4 linked regions of the Macaca mulatta genome follow. The protein of the gene in region 1 purifies or fractionates together with the protein of each later gene. This does not show direct contact. Links are inferred from orthologs where the notes say so. Each region holds a gene or a part of one and is shown in the gene's direction. Other genes may lie near its edges.

Region 1 (4,293 bases):
TGGTCTCAAGAGATCCTCCTGCCTCAGCCTCCCTAGTAGCTGGGACTGCAGGCGTGCACCACCATGCCCAGCTAATTTTTGTATTTTTTTGTTGAGATGAGGTTTCGCCGTGTTGCCCAGGCTGGACGCAAGAGACCATCCCACCTCAGCCTCCCAAAGTGCTGGAATTACAGGCCTAAGCCGCCACAGCAGGCCCACCTCCAGTTCTGAGGTTACTGGCATGTAAAGCACCCAACTCAGGGTTCCAACAAGAATTAAGGTTAATTTATCGTCTGCTCCTTTGAGACAGAGTCTCACACTGTCACCTCGGCTAGGGGGTGCAATGGGCCTTGGCCCACTGCAACCTCCGCCTCCCAGGTTCAAGTGATTCTCCTGCCTCAGCCTCCCCAATAGCTGAGATTACAGGCGGCTGCCATCATGCCCAGCTAACTTTTTGTATTTTTAGAGAGATGGGGTTTCACCATGTTGGCCAGGCTGGTCTTGAACTCCTGACCTCAAACGATCCTCCCACCTCAGCCTCCCAAAGCGCTGGAATTACAGGCGTGAGCCACTGCACCCAGCCATGTCTGCTCATATAGTAATTCTTTTTACGTGCACACCCTGCAATATTACTGTGCTACTCAAAAGCTAATTATGGGGCCAGGCTTGTTGGCTCACGCCTGTAACCCCCCCAGGACTTTGGGAGGTCGAGGCCAGTGGATCACTTGAGGTTAGGAGTTCAAGACCAGCCGGGCCAATATGGCGAAACCCCACCTCTGCTAAACACACAAAAACCAGGCGCAGTGGCGCGCGCCTGCAATCCCAGCTACTCCAGAGGCTGAGGCAGGAGAACCCCTTGAACCTGGGAAGCGAATGTTGCAGTGAGCCAAAGTCGCGCCACTGCACTCCAGCTTAGGCGACAGAGCAAAACTCTGTCTCAAAAAAAATAAATAAATAAAAGCTAATTATGGGACTTGTAAGAAAATATTAATTTATCATGCCCCAAGGACCAAAGTGCGCTGGAAGTTCAGCCGTAGCTGTCTTTGAGTGTGGTCAGCCGCCTGGGGGCCACGGAGACCCACGAAAAAGGGGGTCGTACGTGAATGCGAGGTCCAGGTCTTGCACCAGTCTGTTCATATCTCTTGAGCCTCAGTTTCCTTTCCTGCACTTCGAGCAGTTAACCCTCAGTGCCTAGCAGCCGGTTATTAATATATTCACAACACCCTCCACCCAGGGCAGGGGTGGGAACGGCTGTTCTGCTTTTGAAAGAGAAAAACAACTTCCACAGTTCTTCCGGCCCCACATCCTCTGAACCGGGCTGGGCGCCTCCTCTGGGGCGTAACCAGTTGGACGCGCCCCCGACAGACCCCGCCGCCAAGGCCCCGCCCCCCAGGCCGCGGCGCTTCACGTCCAGCGGGGGCGCTAGAGCGCGGGGGACCGGGCGGGGCGGGCCCGGGAGGCCCGGAGGCGGGGCCGCGGGCCGGGGGCGGACTGGGGCGGGCGGAAGGAGAGCCAGGCCGGAAGGAGGCTGCCGGAGGGCGGGAGGCAGGAGCGGGCCCGGAGCTGCTGGGCTGGAGCGGCGGCGCCGCCATGTCCGATAGCGAGAAGCTCAACCTTGACTCGATCATCGGGCGCCTGCTAGAAGGTTGGTCGCGGCGGGGGAGGCCTGCGTCCGCCGCTCCCGGGCCCCCTGCCGGGCCCGGAAGTGGCGCGCGGGCGGGCCCCCGGGGCCAGCTTAGACTGGGCGGGGACGGGCCGCGAGGTTCGGTGGCCGCAGCCGCCCCCCCGCGGACGCGCCTGAGAGGTCCTGGGCCCGCTCCGACGCGCGGAGCAGCCCCCTCTCCCGGGCCGGGGGCGCACGGGTTGCCTGGGTTCTTGAGGCGAGGGAGAAACCCGGGAAGCCCGGTCCAGGAAGGGGTCCTGCGCTGTGAGGTGTTTGGGTGGCAGCCCCCTGCGCACGACAGTCGCCTCCCGAGGCGCTGAGGGTAGTTGGGGGCTTCCCTTGGGAGGCTTGAGGCCGAGGTCCCGGGAGGCTCAGCAGCAACAGCTGCCTGCGGGCAAGGAGCGGCCGAGGAGGCCTAGGCGCCCCCGGAGGTATCCATGGGGCCACCCGTGTCGCCCACCCTCCACCTGTCAGGGTCCCGGGTCTTGACACCCCATTGCGCCCCCAGTGCAGGGCTCGCGGCCTGGCAAGAATGTACAGCTGACAGAGAACGAGATCCGCGGCCTGTGCCTGAAATCCCGGGAGATTTTCCTGAGCCAGCCCATTCTTCTGGAGCTGGAGGCACCCCTCAAGATCTGCGGTGAGCCCCCCGACCCAGGTCCCCTTGCTTTCCTGAAAGTGGCACTGGCCCCCACAGAGTTCCTGGAGTCCTCCTCCCTTGAGCCCAGTCCTGGTCCTGGGTTCAGGTCTAGACCCTGCATCTAGCTTACCCGATTCCCTGGGTCACAGGTGATATACACGGCCAGTACTATGACCTTCTGCGACTATTTGAGTATGGCGGTTTCCCTCCGGAGAGCAACTACCTCTTTCTGGGGGACTATGTGGACAGGGGCAAGCAGTCCTTGGAGACCATCTGCCTGCTGCTGGCCTATAAGATCAAGTACCCCGAGAACTTCTTCCTGCTCCGTGGGAACCACGAGTGCGCCAGCATCAACCGCATCTACGGTTTCTACGATGAGTGTGAGTGGTCTGAGCGTCTGGGGCTGCCCGGGTCCTGAACCACACTCCTTGTCATTCAGTGGGACCTTCACATTGGCCTGATATCTGACAGACACTTGCTAGACTGTGCACTCCACGAAGGCAGGGCCCAGGTCCGTTCTTGTGCCTGCCCTGCCCCTCCTGGCATGGGGTCTGGGGAATGGTTGCTGACTGAAGGACTGTCCGTATTCTAGTGCTTTCCCCCAGGGCCCTGCCTGGTGACGTTCCCTCTACATTTGCTACTAAGCATTTAGGATGTTTGCAGATGAGCTCTGCTGTCCAGAAGCTGAGATAAACCAGACCTGTACTTGGCCCGGCTCGTGGGCCGGGGCGTGCAAGGAGTGCCAACCCTGAGGCTGGTCCAGATTGGAACTCAGTTTCCAGTGGACTCGGGTGCTTTAGAATTACTTCTGGTGGGAGGCTGAGGCGGGAAGATCACTTGGACTCAGAAGCTCCAAGTTACAGTGAGCTATGATCTTGCCACTGCACTCCAGCCTGGGTGACTGAACAAGACCCTGTTTCTTTACTTTTTTGAGACGGAGTTTCGCTCTTGTTGCCCAGGCTGGAGTGCAGTGGTGTGATCTCAGTTCACTACAACCTCCATCTCCCGGGTTCAAGCGATTCTCCTGCCTCAGCCTCCCGAGTAGCTGGGATTACAGGCATGCGACACCACGCCTGGCTAATTTTTTTGTATTTTAGTAGAGACAGGGTTTCTCCATGTTGGTCAGGCTGGTCTTGAACTTCTGACCTCAGGTGATCTGCCTGCTTCAGCCTCCCAAAGTGCTGGGATTACAGGTGTGAGCCACCATGCCCTGCCCAGATCCTGTTTGTTTAAATTACAAATTAAAATAAAAAGTAACTAGAATTACTCCTGGAAGGCTGACAGGCGGCAGGGGTGGGGGTGGTTTGCATTGGTGCCTGACTCTCTCCCATCTGCGGCTGAATAGCCCAGAGACCCCGGCTAAGGGTGGAGCAGGCAGACCCCTCACAGCTACCTCCCTCTGGGCAGGCAAGAGACGCTACAACATCAAACTGTGGAAAACGTTCACTGACTGCTTCAACTGCCTGCCCATTGCGGCCATAGTGGACGAAAAGATCTTTTGCTGCCACGGAGGTGAGCTCTCCTTAGTTGTCATCTGGGAAGTCACTCCTTTCAGGAAGTGTCTCCCATACCCCCCTGTGCTGGGCTGCACTCACTTCCTTGATGTGCATCCTACATGGGGCGGGCTTGTCTCCTTTCTCCCAGGAGCTCTGTGCTCCGGAGGCCAGGGGCGCCTTTGTGCCTGTTTGGGAACTTGAAAAAGCTGAGGGGAAGGGGATGGCTTCTGCCTGCCTAGGCACCCAGGAGACCAGTGGAGGGACCAGGAGGGTGGTGGAAAAGGTGAGGCTCACTGGCCAAGGCTTCCTGGAGGAAGGATGTCCTTGTTTGAGGAAGTGACCTTCCTTCTGGCCCTCCAGGCCTCTCCCCGGACCTGCAGTCCATGGAGCAGATTCGGCGGATCATGCGGCCCACAGACGTGCCTGACCAGGGCCTGCTGTGTGACCTGCTGTGGTCTGACCCTGACAAGGACGTGCAGGGCTGGGGCGAGAACGACCGTGGCGTCTCTTTTACC
Region 2 (5,229 bases), about 6.5 Mb from region 1:
CTCTGCCCCTCAACGCAGGCGGGGGTTGCGGGATCCCAGGCCAGAGACCCTCCCTGGGCGGGAACCCGCCACACACTAGAAGGCTGCTGACGAAGTCGGCCCAGGAGCAGGGTCGGACACCTGTCTCGACGCGCAGCCCGCGGGTAGCAGCCGCCGCGTTTCCGCGTTGTTAGCCGGGTGGAGGTGGGGGCGGGGACCGCGGCTCGGCCCGTCCCTCCGACCCGCCCATACCTGGAGTCTCTGGGGGCGGGGCGCTGCGGCAGGCCAATGGATCGGGGAGGGGCGTGACAGAGACAGCCAATGGGCGCGGGGGAGGGGGCGGAACACCCGCGCTGAGCAGCCAATAGAGGCGCTGGGGGCGGGGCGTGCGGGCCGCGGGCCAATGGGGGCGCGGGTCCGGGGCGCGCCGCGGCGCTGGGGGCGGCAGGTTGCGGCGGCGCCTGAGCGGGTACAGAGGCTGGCGAGCGCCCAGGTGAGCCGCGCGGGGTCCCGGGGCCTCTCGAGTGCGGGGCGCTCCTCTAGCCGGCAGGGCGCCGACTCCAACTGGGGAGAGTTTTCCGCGATGCCGGGACGGAGGGCGGGGGCGGTGCCGCACCTGCGCCCTCCCTGCGGAGCGGGGACGCCCTGGCTCCCGCCAGGCTGGGGTCGCGGCGCGGGCATCCCTGCCTGCCGCGGGGACCGGGACCTTCGGGGCGAGTGCAGCGATTGGGCGGCAGCGGCGGGGCTCCCCGCGGTGGCTGGGGCTGTTCAGACCCCGAGTACGCCCGATCTGCAGGGTCGAGGTCTTGGTCGCGACCCCGAGCGCCTCTGCGGCCTGAGCAGGTCCGGGTGGGGCGTTCCCATGGCGGCGGCCGCGGGGCCTGGCGTGCGGGCGCCTCCGCGCCGCCCGGGGAGGGGGCAGTGCCCTCCGAGCCAGGTGAGGCGGGCAGGAAATCCTGGATCTGGTTAATGATTCTCCTTGTTCCGGGAGTGCGGGCGTGGCAAGAGTAGGCTGGTGAAGTGGGGGAGGATGCGTGCTCCGGAGGGCCGCCACCCTAGGAATGTGTGGCCGGCGGGTGGGGCTGGCACAGGAGGGTTGGGCCCATGCTGAGGGGTCGCAGCCCAGCCGTTTCTAGGGCAGTCCAGGAGAAGGAAGAGAGGAGGACCAGGCTTTGATAGGGGTAGGTAGGTCCTGACCCTGTGGCCTGCACCCTCCCCACAGAACAGGGATGTTGTTGGGGCTGGCGGCCATGGAGCTGAAGGTGTGGGTGGATGGCATCCAGCGTGTGGTCTGTGGGGTCTCGGAGCAGACCACCTGCCAGGAAGTGGTCATCGCACTGGCCCAAGCAATAGGTGAGTCCTCTTGGGGTTAGGCAGGCTGGGCAGGTAGAGCTGAAGTGGGACCTGGTGGTCCGGCCCCATGGTCCCCCAGAAGGAGAGTGGTCCAGCCCCGTGGCCACCCCCCCCCCCGGAGGAGAGTGGTCCAGCCCCGTGGCACCCCCCGGAGGAGAGTGGGACTGGTTGCTGATCCTTTTGGTCCTCCCCAATTCCTTAAGCCAGGTGGACAGAGAGTTGGGGGGACATAGGCTGATCTTCTCCTCTCCCCCCCAGGCCAGACTGGCCGCTTTGTGCTTGTGCAGCGGCTTAGGGAGAAGGAGCGGCAGCTGCTGCCAGAGGAGTGTCCAGTGGGCGCCCAGGCCACCTGCGGACAGTTCGCCAGTGATGTCCAGTTTGTCCTGAGGCGCACAGGGCCCAGCCTGGCTGGGAGGCCCTCCTCAGACAACTGTCCACCCCCGGAACGCTGCCCAATTCGTGCCAGCCTCCCTGCAAAGCCACGGGCAGCGCTGGGCTGTGAGCCCCGCAAAACACTGACCCCCGGGCCAGCCCCCAGCCTCTCACACCCTGGGCCTGCGGCCTCTGTGACACCCACACCAGGTTGCTGCACAGACCTGCGGGGCCTGGAGCTCAGGGTGCAGAGGAACGCTGAGGAGCTGGGCCACGAGGCCTTCTGGGAACAGGAACTGCGTCGGGAGCAAGCCCGGGAGCGAGAGGGACAGGCACGCCTGCAGGCGCTAAGTGCGGCCACTGCTGAGCATGCCGCCCGGCTGCAGGCCCTGGATGCTCAGGCCTGTGCCCTGGAGGCTGAGCTGCAGCTGGCAGCGGAGGCCCCTGGGCCCCCCTCACCTATGGCATCTGCCACTGAGCGCCTGCGCCAGGACCTGGCTGTTCAGGAGCGGCAGAGTGCGGAGGTGCAGGGCAGCCTGGCTCTGGTGAGCCGGGCCCTGGAGGCTGCAGAGCGAGCCCTGCAGGTGAGCCTGGGGACCTGTTCCTCTGTCACTTCCCCACCCCTTATACCGGCAGATTCGGGGGTCACAGGGTCTGACCTGGGGGGCAGGTGAGCCTGGGGACCTGATCCCCTGTCACTCCCCCACCCCTGATACGGGCAAATATAGGGGTCACAGGGTCCGACTGGGGAGGCAGGTGAACCTGTGGACCCGATCCCTGTCACTCCCCCATCCTTGACACAGGTAGACATGGGGGTCACAGGGTCCTACTCGGGAGGCAGGTGAGCCTGGGGACCTGATCCCCTGTCACTCCCCCACCCCTGACACCGGCAGATATGGGGGTCACAGGGTCCGACTCAGGAGAGCACTCCCTCTGGGGCCTGAGCATGGAGCCCTGTGGCTATACCTCCTGAGGGTCCCATGTGCCCCCAGGCTCAGGCTCAGGAGCTGGAGGAGCTGAACCGGGAACTCCGTCAGTGCAACCTGCAACAGTTCATCCAGCAGACTGGGGCTGCGCTGCCACCGCCCCCACGGCCTGACAGGGGCCCTCCTGGCACTCAGGTCGGAGTGGTTCTTGGGGGAGGCTGGGAGGTGAGGACCTGGCCCAGCCCCACTCCAAGCTGACTTCCCAACCCACAGGGCCCTCTGCCTTCAGCCAGAGAGGAGTCCCTCCTGGGCAACCCCCCGAGTCCCATGCTGGTGCCCAGCCTAGGCCCCGAGGGTATGTCTGTGCTCCACCTCCCCCTGGGGCACTGGGCCCTCCTGTGGCTGCAGCCACCTCAGCCTGTGTCCTCCCGCAGTGGCCCCCATGAAGCAGAACTGGAGGTAGCAGCAGCTCCTGCCCCAGAGTGGTGTCCTCTGGCAGCCCAACCCCAGCCTCTGTGACAGCCTAGTGAGGGCTTCGAGACCAGCCTGCCCACACCACAGAAGGAGAGTTGGTGGTCACAGAGGGCTCCTCCCCCACACAGTGGGAAGCCCTGGGTTTGGCCTCAGGAGCTGGGGTACAGGGGGGGACTGCCCTAGTCCTTGCTGGTCTGCCAGCACCCTGGAAAAGCATGGGGCGTAGCCAGCTCAGAACCTGCCAGGCCCCCAAGGCCACGACTGCCTGTTGGGGACAGGAGATGCATGGACAGTGTGCTCAAGCTGTGAGCATGTGCTTGCCTATGGGAGGGGTCCTTCACTGTGTGTACATGGCAAAAGCACGTGTGTGCCACTTCCCTTACCCCAACGTGAAAACCTCAATAAACTGCCGGAAGCGGCTTGATTGTGTGCCGAAGCTGCGCCGGGCAGGGTCTGAGGCCTTGAACTTGAGCCTCCACGGGGTGCCACTGAGCAGTACCTTGAGACACCTGGGGCACGCCACAGCTGGAGTGTCTGAGAATTGGGTCCCTCAGGCACCAGTGCTCAGTAGGGCCCAGGGCTGGGGCTTCCTGGGCTCCACATTCCACCTGCTCTGCCTCACCTAACCCCAGGGGCTCTCCTGTGAGGCCCCAGCCTGGTGGGCCTGCTGGTTCAGCCCAGCCTGACTGTCCTGGGCTTGTCTGCACCCCCTCCCACCTGATTTCCGTCATCCTGTTGCCTGGGCCCCACCAGCAGCAGGAACTGAGGACACCAGGACAAGCTAGACCCGCCCGTCAGGTTTACTGAGAACTTGTGGGGGCGGGTCCCAGACTCAGGTCAGCCAGGCCCAGGCCACTTCACCAACCCAGGGAGGGCATGGGTACTAGTGGGCAGGGGCTCCCTCCTCCTCCCCAGGTGGGTGTGAAATGTCTGCTATGAGCTTGAAGCTTTGATATTGGGGCAGGGGCCGGGCACAGTGGCCCATACCTATAATGCCAGCACTTTGGGAAGCTGAAGGGGGGGATCACCTGAGATCAGGAGTTAGAGACCAGCCTGGCCAACGTGATGAAACCTCATCTCTACTAAAAATACAAAAAAATTGGCCAGGCGCGGTGGCTCACACCTGTAATCCCAGCACTTTGGGAGGCTGAGGTGGATGGATTACGAGGTTAGGAGATCGAAACCATCCTGACTAACATGGTGAAACCCTGTCTCTACTAAAAATACAAAAAATTAACCGGGCATGATGGTGGGCACCTGTAGTCCCAGCTACTCGGGAGGCTGAGGCAGGAGAATGGCACGAACCCGGGGTGTGGAGGTTGCGGTGAGCCGAGATCCCGCCACTGCACTCCAGCCTGGGTGACAGAGCAAGACTGTCTCCAAAATTAAAAAAAAAAAAAATCGTGTCCACATCCCAGCCCAGCCCCTGCCTGGGCCCTTGGGCTAGCTGTCACCTCTCCTGGTCCTCATGGTAAGCCATACACCCCCAACTCCAGGGGCCATGGTTAGAGTTAGAGAAGAATGTGGGGGACCCCTACACCTGGGTACAGCCATGGGTGGGACTGGGACAGAGGATGGGGATGCCCTAGGTCAGGGGTGTCCAATCTTTTGGCTTCCCTGGGCCACACTGGAAGAATTGTCTTGGGCCACACATGGAATACACTAATAGCTGATGAGCTTAAAGAAAAAATCGTTAAAAAAAATATTGCAATGATGGCCGGGCGCGGTGGCTCAAGCCTGTAATCCCAGCACTTTGGGAGGCCAAGGTGGGCGGATCACGAGGTCAGGAGATCGAGACCATCCTGGCTAACACGGTGAAACCCCGTCTCTATTAAGAAATACAAAAAACTAGCCGGGCGAGATGGCGGGCGCCTGTAGTCCCAGCTACTCGGGAGGCTGAGGCCGGAGAATGGCGTGAACCCGGGAGGCGGAGCTTGCAGTGAGCTGAGATCCGGCCACTGCACTCCAGCCTGGGCGACAGAGCGAGACTCCGTCTCAAAAAAAAAAAAAAAAAAAATTGCAATGTTGGCCAGGCACAGTGGCTCATGCCTGTAATCCCAGCACTTTGGGAGGCCGAGGTGGGCGGATCACGAGGTCAGGAGATCGAGACCATCCTGGCTAACAC
Region 3 (6,125 bases), on another chromosome or scaffold:
TTGATCCCAATTAATCCTCACAACTGCCCTGTGAAGTAGATTTCAATGTTCTTTATATTGTCCCCTTTAATAGGGAGACTGAGACCCAGAGAAATTAGTGAAATGCCCAAGGTTATACAGCTAGTAGCAAAACTAAATCCCAGGCCTCCCAAGCCCTTGGAGAGTGTCCTTTTTTATAATGTAACAGCTAGAGTTTAACCATCCAATCTGATCCAGCTAAATTTGGATGTATTTGATAGCATTTTCAAAGATTGAAGAGTTGAGGCCGGGCGCGGTGGCTCAAGCCTGTAATCCTAGCACTTTGGGAGGCCGAGACGGGCGGATCACGAGGTCAGGAGATCGAGACCATCCTGGCTAACACGGTGAAACCCCGTCTCTACTAAAAATACAAAAAATTAGCCGGGCGAGGTGGCGGGCGCCTGTAGTCCCAGCTACACGGGAGGCTGAGGCAGGAGAATGGCGTAAACCCGGGAGGCGGAGCTTGCAGTGAGCTGAGATCCGGCCACTGCACTCCAGCCCGGGCGACAGAGCGAGACTCCGTCTCAACAAAAAAAAAAAAAAAAAAAAGATTGAAGAGTTGAGACCCTTGAACTTTCATTCCAGAAGACGATGTAATATTCGGCAAACTTAACTGGCAATGGGGTTCATGGTGCCATGTGCTGGATCCAACTCCTGTGCAACTAAACAATGACTAGTATAGAATTTTTAAATACCTGGTAACACTTAAATGTGAAATATTGCCAACAGTGCAGTTATAAAAATAACAAATGTTATGATTGATGAGCATATAGGATTATATATTATACTGCATATACTAAGACTTCGAGAGCTTTCCAGAGATAATATTTTCTGAAAGATATATGTTTGAACTTGAACTCAGGCTGGGGACGTCTGTTCAAGACCAGAAGTTTGCTTAAAAAAGAAATACTTTGTATATCCTCAAACTGAATTAGATAGAGTAGAAGACTTGAAGGAAATTGTGCTTAGGTATAGATTGATTGATTGATTGATTGATTTCCATGGCACTGGTCACTGACATCAAACCTCTTTAACTGTAATAAATATGATAAACTAGAGAATAAGAGAGAGAGAGAGAGAGAGAGAGAGAGATGCTTTTTTCCCTTGAGACTCCCTTGCCTTTGATTTGTTTTTGTTTTTGTTTTTTTAATGTATTTGAATGGAAATCAGAATGTGCTGCTTCTCAGAACTGGGGACCCATCTGAATCCTCCTAAGAATGTATACATTTTTCTTTTTAAATAAAAATTACTAAAAATTGCTTTTTTAAAATTTGCTTTTCTGTATTATTGTAATAAACACGCAGTGTAAACACTACAGAGAGTGCATGTTGCTGGAAGCCTTTGATATTTGTAATATGTGGCAGTGTGCCCCTGCTGAGGAGGGACAGCAGAGAATGACCCTCAGTTAACAGGGCTGTGGAGCGGACTCCAGGCCAGACTATTATGATCCATGAACTAGTATTAGAGACTTGAGTCTTCCACTGTCAGCCTCTCTATAGCATGAGGATAGCCCATTTGGGGGTGGTTTTACTTTTTGGTTTGATAACCCCTTAGAGTAGAAATACAATCATCACAGTATATAGAACTCTTGGCTAACTTTTTTTGATCAAAAAATTCTTCCTTGATCCATAACCACTTAATAAAGTTCTTTAGGAAAGGTCTTATTGCCTCAATAGCGGGTGTTAAATGAGGCCTGTTAAGAGAAAGCATAAAACTCAGACAACCGCCATTGAAATGATGGTTTTGTTCTGACTAGGTCAGACCAGTGACTCTCTCAACCCTACCAGTGATCCATGAGTGCCAGTGTTGTGACCATCACAATGACATTCACTGAAAAGTTAGGAAAACCCACAGTTTACCTGGCCAATGTTATATCCCTCTCCTTCCCTGTGAGATGTTGACACAAAGGGTGATGGGTGATGAAATAAGGTATTCTGGTCTCCATTATGAGTCTGTTGGCCCGCTCTATCAGTCTGGGCTACAAACCTCTACAGAAGTAAGTGAAAAATTATTTCATTGTTGTTCTGATGAGGTGCAAGGTTATAGTGGAAAGAGCAGGCTTTGGCATTACACAAACTTAGGTTTGCAAACATAACCCTGGGCTTTTTTTCTTTTTTAAATTCTTAGATCCTTAATCTACTTTGAAAGGTTAATGTGAGGACTAAAAATGGTACACAGAAAGTGCTCACCACAGCCTGGAATGTGTAGACAACCATGAGAAACGGTTACCACCATTATTATTGTCACTTAACATGGGGCAAGCCTTGCTAACAACTTTACTATATGATCGTTTGTCCCTAACCAGTCACCTTGTAGTTAATCCTCCTGATACATCATAAACATGGTTATGAGAGTGTGAGTTTTAAATTGTTTTATTATCTTTCAGATCTGTAAGAGCAAAGCTAAAGAATCTCAGCAGTATTATCACAGCTTGGCTGTCCGGCAGAGTCTGGCTGTCCATTTTAACATTCAGCAGGACTGTGGTCATTTCCTTGCTGAAGTCCCTAACCGTCTGCTTCCCTGGGAGGATCCTGATGACCCTGAAAAGGAAGAGGATGACATGGAAGAGACTGAAGAAGAAGCCAAAGGAGAAACGGATGGGAAAAACCCAAAGCCCTGTTCTGAAGCAGCATCATCCCAGAAAGACAGCCAGGGAGTCATGAGCAAGAAGCAGAGGAGCCATGTTGTAGTCATCACCAGGGAAGTTCCATGTCTCACTGTGGCTGATTTTGTGCGAGACTCTCTAGCCCAGCATGGGAAAAGCCCTGATTTGTATGAGAGGCAGGTGTGTCTGCTGCTCTTACAGCTATGCTCTGGTCTTGAGCACCTCAAACCCTACCATGTCACTCACTGCGATCTACGCCTAGAGAACCTGCTACTTGTCCACTACCAGCCTGGGGGCACTGCCCAAGGCTTTGGGCCTGCGGAGCCCAGCCCCACCTCATCTTATCCCACTAGGCTTATAGTGAGCAACTTCTCTCAGGCCAAACAGAAGAGCCATCTGGTGGACCCCGAGATCCTCCGGGACCAGTCTCGCCTTGCCCCAGAGATCATAACAGCTACCCAGTATAAAAAGTGTGATGAGTTCCAGACAGGCATCCTTATCTATGAGATGCTGCACCTACCCAACCCCTTTGATGAGAACCCAGAGCTGAAGGAGAGGGAATACACACGAGCAGACCTGCCTCGCATCCCGCTCCGCTCCCCCTACTCCCGGGGTCTGCAGCAGCTGGCCAGCTGCCTCCTGAATCCCAACCCTTCTGAGCGGATCCTCATTTCAGACGCCAAAGGCATCCTCCAGTGTCTGCTCTGGGGCCCCCGCGAAGATCTCTTCCAGACTTTCACCGCCTGCCCTAGCCTAGTGCAGAGGAACACCCTGCTCCAAAACTGGCTAGACATCAAGCGAACACTGCTCATGATCAAGTTTGCTGAGAAGTCCCTGGACAGGGAAGGTGGGATCAGCCTTGAGGACTGGCTTTGTGCTCAGTATTTGGCTTTTGCCACTACAGACTCCCTCAGTTGTATTGTGAAAATTCTACAGCACCGTTAATGTGTACCTGGATGCTGCTTTTACCACATCTTCACCTTCTTCATGTCACCCATGCACTTCCCCTTCCTAGTGCTCACTCCAAATTCAAGGAAAGAAGAAAGACAAACCTCTATCCCTGTCCATGAACAAGTAGGTCCATTCAGAAAGGTTATCCACTGCCCCAAATTGAATGAGAAGCTGAGTCTGTCTTAACTTTACAGAAATTCAGCTGCACAAACTTGCGGTTGCCTTCCTTTGAAACACCTTCTATCCTAATAGAAGAAAATGCAGGTAAAAATGAAAATCCATATTCTTGAAGGGACAGCTTCTTTGGTATGAACTCAGTGAGCCAGTGAGCTGTGTCCATTTCTTCTATAATTCTGGATATCACCTATCTTTTTAGCACCGAGTATTTATTCTCACTAGCAGTAGACAGACTTAACCAGTCTCTACCATGACCCAGTAGACTCTGACAACAGACTCTTCCTTTAAGGTGTCAACAACTGACTTACTAGGCAGAACTGCCATCTTTAGCATCAGCCCAGTTTTGGTTACCAGGGACTATATCCTTTGTTCCAGGAGAGAGTAGAAAGAAAAGGAGAGATCCCATCCTTGGGTCATCAACCCATTTTCATTGCCATTATCTGTAAGTATGTGCACTGCATGGAGGACAGCCCTAATAGTCTCCCCTCTGCTGCCACTGCCTGATTCTCTACTCTGTCCCCACTTGCCAGTGATGTTTGGATTTATCAGCCACTTGTGGCCCATTACAGAGCTGACCCAAGGTGGTGTCACCAATGCCTCAGCAGGGTGGAGTGCAGTTCAGAGCTTATAAATAGCTGGCAGGGCATGAGGAGATGATTTTCTTGCATGTGCAATTCTCTAGGGGCCATCAGGGAACAGAGTTTAAAGTACCCTTTGATTACTGTCAGAACTGTCAGCATTTGCAGTTTTCCCCTGAGCAGTAATTGGCCAGCTCCCTTCTATCAGTAGCCAGTGTTAACTAGTTTAGCAAATGCTGTAAACAATTGCCCTGAATGAAATAGCTGTCGGTGGAGCTCTAAGATCTTACAGGGCACAGTGAGGTGGGCTGTTGGGATGGCCGTAGGCAGGGGAGGGGAAGAAGGCCACTGATGAGACTGCTGACCTCCTTAGAATGTTGACCTCTTTTAGAGAGACTGCCTCCCAGTGTAAGTGGCTCATTGTTCCTTCTGACTCTCTCTAAAATGGCTCTGGAGGACAGCTCACGAGAATTCTGATTGCTGAGGTGGGTGATTGAGAGCTGTTCACCATGTGTGCAGCCTGTGCTCCCCTCCTATGGATATATGTGCAATTTTTGTATGTATTTTTTTAGCTGTATATTACAGTGTTTATGTTGCAACTTCACCTGAAGCGAGTCTACAGAAACCTTCCCCCTTCTTCCCTTGGCACATATTTGCGCTAAGAGATGAGCGTTCCTTCCACTGGGGGGTGTGTGTGTGTGTGTGTGTGTTTGTGTGTGTGTATACACATGTGCACCTGTGCTTGTTTTATTCAAAACTGTGAGTATGTGTTTACTTTGACCTTGAAATCCCAAGAGTCACTCGAACAATGTGTGTGTACACTTGTGTGCCCATGTGTGCGTGCACACGCATGCTGGAAGTAGAGGCCACGCCTCTAGAGAAGCAACCTGTGGCAGGGTTGACAGACATGTTCTCTGTGCCTAGTGAGTGAGTGAGCCCTGAGGCCCCTCATCTACCAGTGCAGAGTTTCCTTAAAGCCAAGACTGATTGTGCAGTATTACTTACATAGCACATTAGTGGCCTTGGAAATTTCTAAACTTTTAACATTTTTAACAGCCTTTCATGTGATTCATGTATATGAAAGAGGATCAGGAAAGGAGAATAATGTATTTTATTGTGCTCTTATTATTTTTTTAAGTGATTGGAATATGTGAGGCTCTATATGGAGAATGTCCTTATCACCTGGCCAGCAATATAGGATTCACAGGGAGGAAGGCTGGTTAGCCCACAAAGAGTCTTGCCTCCTCTAGCCAGAGTGCAGGGCTCTGCTCCTAGGAATGGCCATGGAGTGGGCATGCTGCTGCAGGCCAGCAGTCCACTCTTGGTATCCTCTGGCACAGCCGCTCCTTGCCTTGAAGGTTGGTGTTTGGTTCATCTTAGTATAGACCATGTGCACATAACTCCTTGCCTGATTATGCACTGAAGTGGCAGCACACAGACCACTGACCATGTCAGCCAGCATATTCCCTTAACCTCCCCCACCTCCCACCTTGCAATGGCTTGCATATTGAGATATACCTTCTCAATGTCACGTTCGTGGTGCCTTGCCCATGTAAATTTGAATGTTGACTGTTTAATAAGGTTACATATTTAATGCAGAATGTTCCCTGGTCCCTCTATTTGTTATGTCTCTACATATCTTTTTTGTTCTTTCTTTCTTGCTCTTTTTCTGTTATGATTTGGATCCAGTCTTTACTTTAACTCTATGGTATAATAAGCATGGACACCTCCACTACCATTATCTTACAGCACTGGTAAACCAAGCACCTCTTCACATCAGATGTTTTTAGTACTGT
Region 4 (6,125 bases), on another chromosome or scaffold:
TTTTTTTTTTCCCAAAATTTCAGGGCAGGTCTATAAAACTTGGGGGAAATCTTTTTTGAGAGGCTAAACAATTATTCATTCTTGAAATGTAATAGTAAACGATGTAAGTAGCTGTGATTTCTGTTTTTATTCACTGTATGGCATAGGTTTCGTTTATAGTATATTTAGATTGTCAGTCTCTTGGGTGATTCATTGACATCTAGGCTGAAGTTTAGGAATTGTGGGATTTTAAGATTATTATTTCTATTACAAGAATAAATATTGATGAAGATCCATGAAACCAAAGGTCTGAGTGTTAAGCAATTTCATTGAGTAAGGAAAGAAGTGACAGTGGAAGCTTCTTTAATTAAAAGACAAATTTCAGTTCTTGGTGGTTTCCTTTTCTTTAGAAGCAAAAATAATTCAGATGAGCTAGTTTCTAGTTTGCCCTGTAATTTTTAGAAGTTACATGCTAACTCACCCTGTATTATGGTCAGAAATCTGAACTGTGGGAGATACTGGGTTTTGACCCTACATAGTTTTCCACTTAACCTTTATTCACAGAGTACTGAACCAAGGCTTTTCTCATCAAGAATCTCTCAAGGGTTTAAAATAACAGTGTATACGTTTTGTAAAGGCAGGTTAAATCTTGATTTTAAAGTAGGCTCTTGGCATGTATTATTTTCTTTATTGTTTTTAACTGTTGAATTTCGTGAGTTACGATTCTCTGACAAATATACGCTAATAAATGTCTTAGTACCAATATGGATGATCACTTGTAGCCAGTAAAACACCAAAAGAGATGGGTGACTTAAAAAAATAGCAGAAACAAGCTTGTAATACAGGTTTATTAACAGCTTTAACACAAAATCTTTGAAAATATAACATGAAATTTTTTTATTTAAAATAACTCAGTGCCCAGCCATCCTACATTTGAATGTTAGCAGGAGATATTTATTTCTACTTTTGGTGCTGCTTTTAATTCCACTTATGTGCTGCCATATTGGTGCAAAAACATTTTGGATTAGCTGGCAAAATAAATTCTTATACTATCAAACAGAAGCAAACTTGCCTTCAGGGATAAAATATGCCAATGGTGTTTAATATTTTTACAAAAATGTTCTGGGTTTTCCCACTGATTATTTTCTTTTTACATTCTGTATATGATTATAGACCTTGGGAGCAAGAGAGGGGACCAATAACAGTAGAAGAGCTGAACCTTTCAAATTTGACAGTAACTCTAAGGTTTCCTTGACTGAGGCAAGTCAGAGTATTCAAAAGAATAGATGAGGCGGGTTTTGACCTTACAAAAAGGTTTCTTTTTAACATAACCAAGAAATTAACTGAGGCCTTTCTTTATGTTCTGAAATAATTTCCTAAGAGCCTGCTTTACCTAATTTCTCAATTTTCATGGAAAATGTCTTTTTCAATAATAAACTAAAAACAAATACAATCCTCTTTTCACTGTAGACAGTACTCATAAATAGTCTCTGGAAAGTCTAATGAGCTCTGTAGTTGTAACTAGTTCTAACCATCAGCATAAGTGAACAACCAGATGTTATATGAGCCATTCTTACTAGGAAACCTTAGCCTCCCAGGCTGCTCCATGCCCTGTCACAATCTGCATGGACTTTTCTCACTTGTGGGTCTGTTTGCCTCCATTTATAAGTGTCTACTTCTCTGTCCACCTCCGGTTGTATGTTCTTCCTGTCGAGGGATATATGTTTCATTTTTCTTTAGTTCCAAAGGCTTCTCGTCTGTTTATTTCTGTTCCTTACCTTTTTATTTTTATTCTGTAGGTGGCCATAATTTAGAATGAAGCATATTTTTATAGTTTTTGATGATTAGTTTTATTTAAGACACAAATTAGTAGAAAGCTATCTATTCCTTTAAGTAGATCAATTTAATTGAATTTTTCTTCAATATTGCCTTCAGCTCACTTTTTCTGTGTCTTAATCATTCTTAATGGATAATACATTTTTTTTCTCCTTGATTAAAACCCTGGAATATTCATTCAAGTGGGGGAAATCTGGCCATATTCATGGTAACACCTACTTGAGAAAAAAAAAATAGGACATTTAATCAAATTCAAGGTATTCAAGAATTTCTTCAAATAATGGTAGGCTCTGTTTATTGGAAATAATACCAAATCAGTAGCATTTATAGACCTAGAGTAAATAGCTCTTCTTTCTTTTCTTTTTGATTGCCAAATTTTTGAACAGTACTGCCCATCATTAACAATTGTTCTGCTAAAAAACAATGCAAAAGAGGCAATCTTTTATTTACTGCCATAGCAGTGAAAACTTTAAAATTTAAGAAATAATTTTCTAGTTGTACTTGCCTCCAGAACTCAGCCTTTCCCGTGTGCCTATCATATTTTGTATGCATGTCTGATTGTTGTTACTTTATGATTAGCATATATAGATTTTTCTCCGAGCATTTCTCATATAATCTTTAATTAGCAATTCACTCCTGTGAATCATATGCATTTAACTTTTTCCATTCTAGAAGGTCCTTTCCCAAATGCAACCATGTTTCTGTGCATGGTGGTAATTAAGTCATTGCTCACAGGGTATTTACTTAGTTTCTTAAAACATTAATTATTCTTTCCCTTTTTTTGTACTGCAGGTCTTCCGACCCCGAACTCCACCAGAGGCAATTGCACTGTGTAGCCGTCTGCTGGAGTATACGCCAACTGCCCGACTAACACCACTGGAAGCTTGTGCACATTCATTTTTTGATGAATTACGGGACCCAAATGTCAAACTACCAAATGGGCGAGACACACCTGCACTCTTCAACTTCACCACTCAAGGTAAATCCAAACACTTTGCTCTTCACCAGTTCTAGGAAAGCTACACACTGGGTGTGAAATGACATTCTATTAATTAAAATCTGTGGGAGACAAAAATGGACATATTAAGTACTTAGGTAGGCGAAAAGAGCATCCTTTCTAACTTAATGGTCACTACTTATATGATTTTGAAGAAAAGAGTAGCACATAAAAGTTTTCCAATAGGCATAGCTTCTTTAATTTTTAGCAGAATATAATGTTGGCACAGGAGAAGTTACAGAGAGTTCAGTGAGTGAAGTTTATCACTAATTGGACTAATGTACAATTTAACCTTTAGGTTTGGATCTGAAACTTAAAATAGTAGCATTTCTTGCTTCCCTAGAGTTTGTATCAAGTTTTTTTAAACCTGGAATGAATTGGCTATATTTGTATAAATTCAGTTGTCTTCCAAACAGGAGGAAAACTGGAGCCCTATAAACCCTTTCTAAGAACTTAAACAAACAATAGAGACAAGGAAATTTCCATCCCCTCTGAGATTTGGCACCATCGCTGCTGCAGAGAAAATACTGAAAGGAAAACTAACTTTGTGCATTGTGGTTTCTGGAAGACCTTGGGATAGTCACTATTTCTTCACTATTTCTGTGTTCAGTTTTCTTTTCTCCTTGATTAAGACCTAAGTGATTCATTCATTCAGTCACACTACCTCTGATGATGTGACTTTCTTCTTACACTGAGCATAAAAAATGTACAATTCATTACCAAAAAAAACACAGTTGATGTATTGATTAGTAAGCATACTCAGGCTAGAAAACAGAAAAGGGAGATGTTGAGCTTTCTGTGAAAGAAAGAAATCTATTTCCTTTATTCATATATATCATATCTTTCTTTTAAAAAAAAAAAAAGAAGACTCTTTTATTTTGGTATTTTAAAATATGTTTGCCCAGCACATTAGATATAAATATGATGTGGGTCTTGAACATTTATGTTTTTGAGGGTTTGGAGAATGCATTTATATTTGGATGTAATGTGTATAGATAGAGTGTGTGGTCTCTGTGGTTATCAGAGTGTTTATGTGATTCTGAGTATCAGTGAAAAACTGGACCCTGTAAACACAGTCATGTATTCCTTAGTGATGCAGATATGTTCTGAGAAATGTGTCATTCAGCAATTTTCGTCCTTGGGCAGACGTCACAGAGTGTGCTTATGCCTACTTATTATTGAAAGTGCTGTCATTTTGAGATATGGCCCCTTTTTAAAAAGTGTTAAAATGCTCTGTCTTAGCACCCATTCTGAAACTGAGCTGTAATCACAAAGTAGTACTTTCTCACGGTCTTTGTAAATCACTATTGTTACTGTTTTTGAACAGTGTTTCTATGTAAGATGTCCAGGGAAGAGAGGTTTTTTTTGTTGTTGTTATTGTTTTTGTTTTTTGTTTTTTTTTGTTTGTTTTGTTTTGAGACGGAGTCTCACTCTGTCACTCAGGCTGGAGTGCAGTGGCATGATCTTGCCTCACTGCAAGCTCCACCTCCCAGATTCAAACAATTCTTGTGCCTCAGCCTCCTTAGTAGCTGGGATTACAGGCACCTGCCACCATGCCTGGCTAATTTTTGTATTTTCAGTAGAGACGGGGTTTCACCATGTTGGCCAGACTGGTTTTAAACTCCTGACCTCAGGTGATCTGCCTGCCTTGGCCTCCCAGAGTGCTAGGATTACAGGTGTGAGCCACCATGCCTAGCCTTGATGCCATTGTATTTGATATGATACTCTGTATTCTAATTTTGGAGCAGTGTTTCCAAATGGTGATCTTGTTTTCTGAGGCAGCTGTAACTGTGTACAGATGCAACTTTAAAGCACATGCTAGTTAGTAGTAATTAATGGATGACCAGAATAAAACTGGGTAATCCAAGGGGTTGAAGAAGGAGAATCAATCTTCCAGTTGGTTGTATAGCTAAAGGAAATCTAGAGATAGAAACATTGTGGGGGGTCTGGTTGAAGGGTGAGGGATATTAGTGAGGTTCTTCTAAAGGCAGCATAAAGCCCTCCTCCATCCTCATAACAAATTGTCAGTGACATCTGCAGCACTGCTTCCCCCAAATAAAATAAAGATCTACATATAGTAGGTGCTCAATGAATGTATGAGTGCCATGTACCACTTTAAATAAACATAATATTCATTAATTCATACAACCAGTATTTTTGGGGCATTTCTAATGTTCCCTCTGGTTGTCATTACTATTGTTTTAATTTCTAAAGTAAACCTGCTATATATACGGAACTATAAAGATTAAACACTTGAGTAAAATATAGTGTTTTATTAAGGTAAAGCTTACAATAAAGCTAACTGCAATTTGATGTTTGTTACTGTACCATGGAGTAATTAGCCATAAACAGTAATTAGCATTACTTTCATATAATCACAATATTTCCATATTCAGATAGAGGAAGGAGAGAGATGAACAGATATGAGATGGACAACTTTGAGATCTTTCTGATTGCCTAAATCCATAACTCAGGAGAACATCAGACCTCTCTCATTTTTCCAGCACTGAAGCTTCAGTGTTCCAGGACCCCATGACTGACAATATTATCTGCTCTCAGATGTTGGAAATTGGAATAAACCTTTGGCACACCCCCTTCTTTCCATTTCTTCCTGTCATTAGAATTTCAAATTCAGCCATAGCTGAATCAGACCTTAGGAAGCAGATAGAATCAGGAAAGCCCAGTAAGGATCAGTATTTTCTTATTAACTAATTTGTTGCCTATTCCAAGGCTGGAATATATTAGGAAATCAATTGTTTTGTATGTTTAAAGGTGAGTCTTCCCCAAACTCTATCACACACATCCCCAATCTCAGTTTTTTACCTAATTTGTATGAAATTTTACCAATTGAAGTTATTTAGTAAATATTGTCCTCCTAAGAGTATAGGGTAGGATGGAGGTGGTAAAGATATTATCCGTTTACTTTAGTATGAGCTAATGTAAACATTCTATTCCTCTACCACTTGGCAGGATTATGTGAGAGAATGGTAGCTTTGTGGGGAGATAAGTAAGAGTGGCAGCATGTTGGCTAGGCCAGAAGAAGCAGTGATTTAATAACTCTGGGGAACTGTTAATTGAGAGTTGAAATGGGATATTTGGGGCAGCCATTGAGCAATATGCAGACTCAGACAGACTGAATATTTTGAGGCGGGGAGTAAGAGTATCTGGACATGAAAAAAGCAGGTGATGAGATAGAAAAGGTGTTCCAGAAAGCAAGTAAATAAAAGAACAGTAAAAGGGAGACTAAGGTATAAAAAACAAAGGAAAATAAGGAAAGCGTTAGAAAATATTTTTTGAAAGAGTATAAGAATGT

What was found. Proteins that work in one complex are often made in the same cells at the same time.
Region 2: the proteins of PPP1CA (region 1) and RASSF7 purify together in Homo sapiens (affinity purification with mass spectrometry; 3 studies listed by BioGRID and IntAct, counting the BioPlex papers as one, with this or other methods). This does not show direct contact. The link is inferred for Macaca mulatta from reciprocal best matches to the Homo sapiens genes PPP1CA and RASSF7.
Region 3: the proteins of PPP1CA (region 1) and PEAK1 purify together in Homo sapiens (affinity purification with mass spectrometry; 3 studies listed by BioGRID and IntAct, counting the BioPlex papers as one, with this or other methods). This does not show direct contact. The link is inferred for Macaca mulatta from reciprocal best matches to the Homo sapiens genes PPP1CA and PEAK1.
Region 4: the proteins of PPP1CA (region 1) and GSK3B purify together in Homo sapiens (affinity purification with mass spectrometry; 4 studies listed by BioGRID and IntAct, with this or other methods). This does not show direct contact. The link is inferred for Macaca mulatta from reciprocal best matches to the Homo sapiens genes PPP1CA and GSK3B.

What each region holds. Positions count from the first base shown.
Region 1 is NC_133419.1:6,981,878-6,986,170, forward strand, and holds the start of PPP1CA (serine/threonine-protein phosphatase PP1-alpha catalytic subunit), read left to right. Parts: upstream 1-1,493; 5' UTR 1,494-1,569; coding exon 1,570-1,624; intron 1,625-2,150; coding exon 2,151-2,282; intron 2,283-2,431; coding exon 2,432-2,662; intron 2,663-3,689; coding exon 3,690-3,794; intron 3,795-4,138; coding exon 4,139-4,293. UniProt on the Homo sapiens protein: Protein phosphatase that associates with over 200 regulatory proteins to form highly specific holoenzymes which dephosphorylate hundreds of biological targets.
Region 2 is NC_133419.1:450,769-455,997, forward strand, and holds the end of RASSF7 (ras association domain-containing protein 7), read left to right. Parts: intron 1-425; exon of another isoform or gene 426-916; intron 917-1,201; coding exon 1,202-1,332; intron 1,333-1,590; coding exon 1,591-2,288; intron 2,289-2,696; coding exon 2,697-2,825; exon of another isoform or gene 2,826-2,903; coding exon 2,904-2,985; coding exon of another isoform or gene 2,986-3,064; coding exon 3,065-3,093; coding exon of another isoform or gene 3,094-3,149; 3' UTR 3,150-3,524; downstream 3,525-5,229. UniProt on the Homo sapiens protein: Negatively regulates stress-induced JNK activation and apoptosis by promoting MAP2K7 phosphorylation and inhibiting its ability to activate JNK.
Region 3 is NC_133412.1:55,255,194-55,261,318, reverse strand, and holds part of PEAK1 (inactive tyrosine-protein kinase PEAK1), read left to right. Parts: intron 1-2,404; coding exon 2,405-3,568; 3' UTR 3,569-6,125. UniProt on the Homo sapiens protein: Probable catalytically inactive kinase. Scaffolding protein that regulates the cytoskeleton to control cell spreading and migration by modulating focal adhesion dynamics. Acts as a scaffold for mediating EGFR signaling.
Region 4 is NC_133407.1:163,859,667-163,865,791, forward strand, and holds part of GSK3B (glycogen synthase kinase-3 beta), read left to right. Parts: intron 1-2,607; coding exon 2,608-2,794; intron 2,795-6,125. UniProt on the Homo sapiens protein: Constitutively active protein kinase that acts as a negative regulator in the hormonal control of glucose homeostasis, Wnt signaling and regulation of transcription factors and microtubules, by phosphorylating and inactivating glycogen synthase (GYS1 or GYS2), EIF2B, CTNNB1/beta-catenin, APC, AXIN1, DPYSL2/CRMP2, JUN, NFATC1/NFATC, MAPT/TAU and MACF1.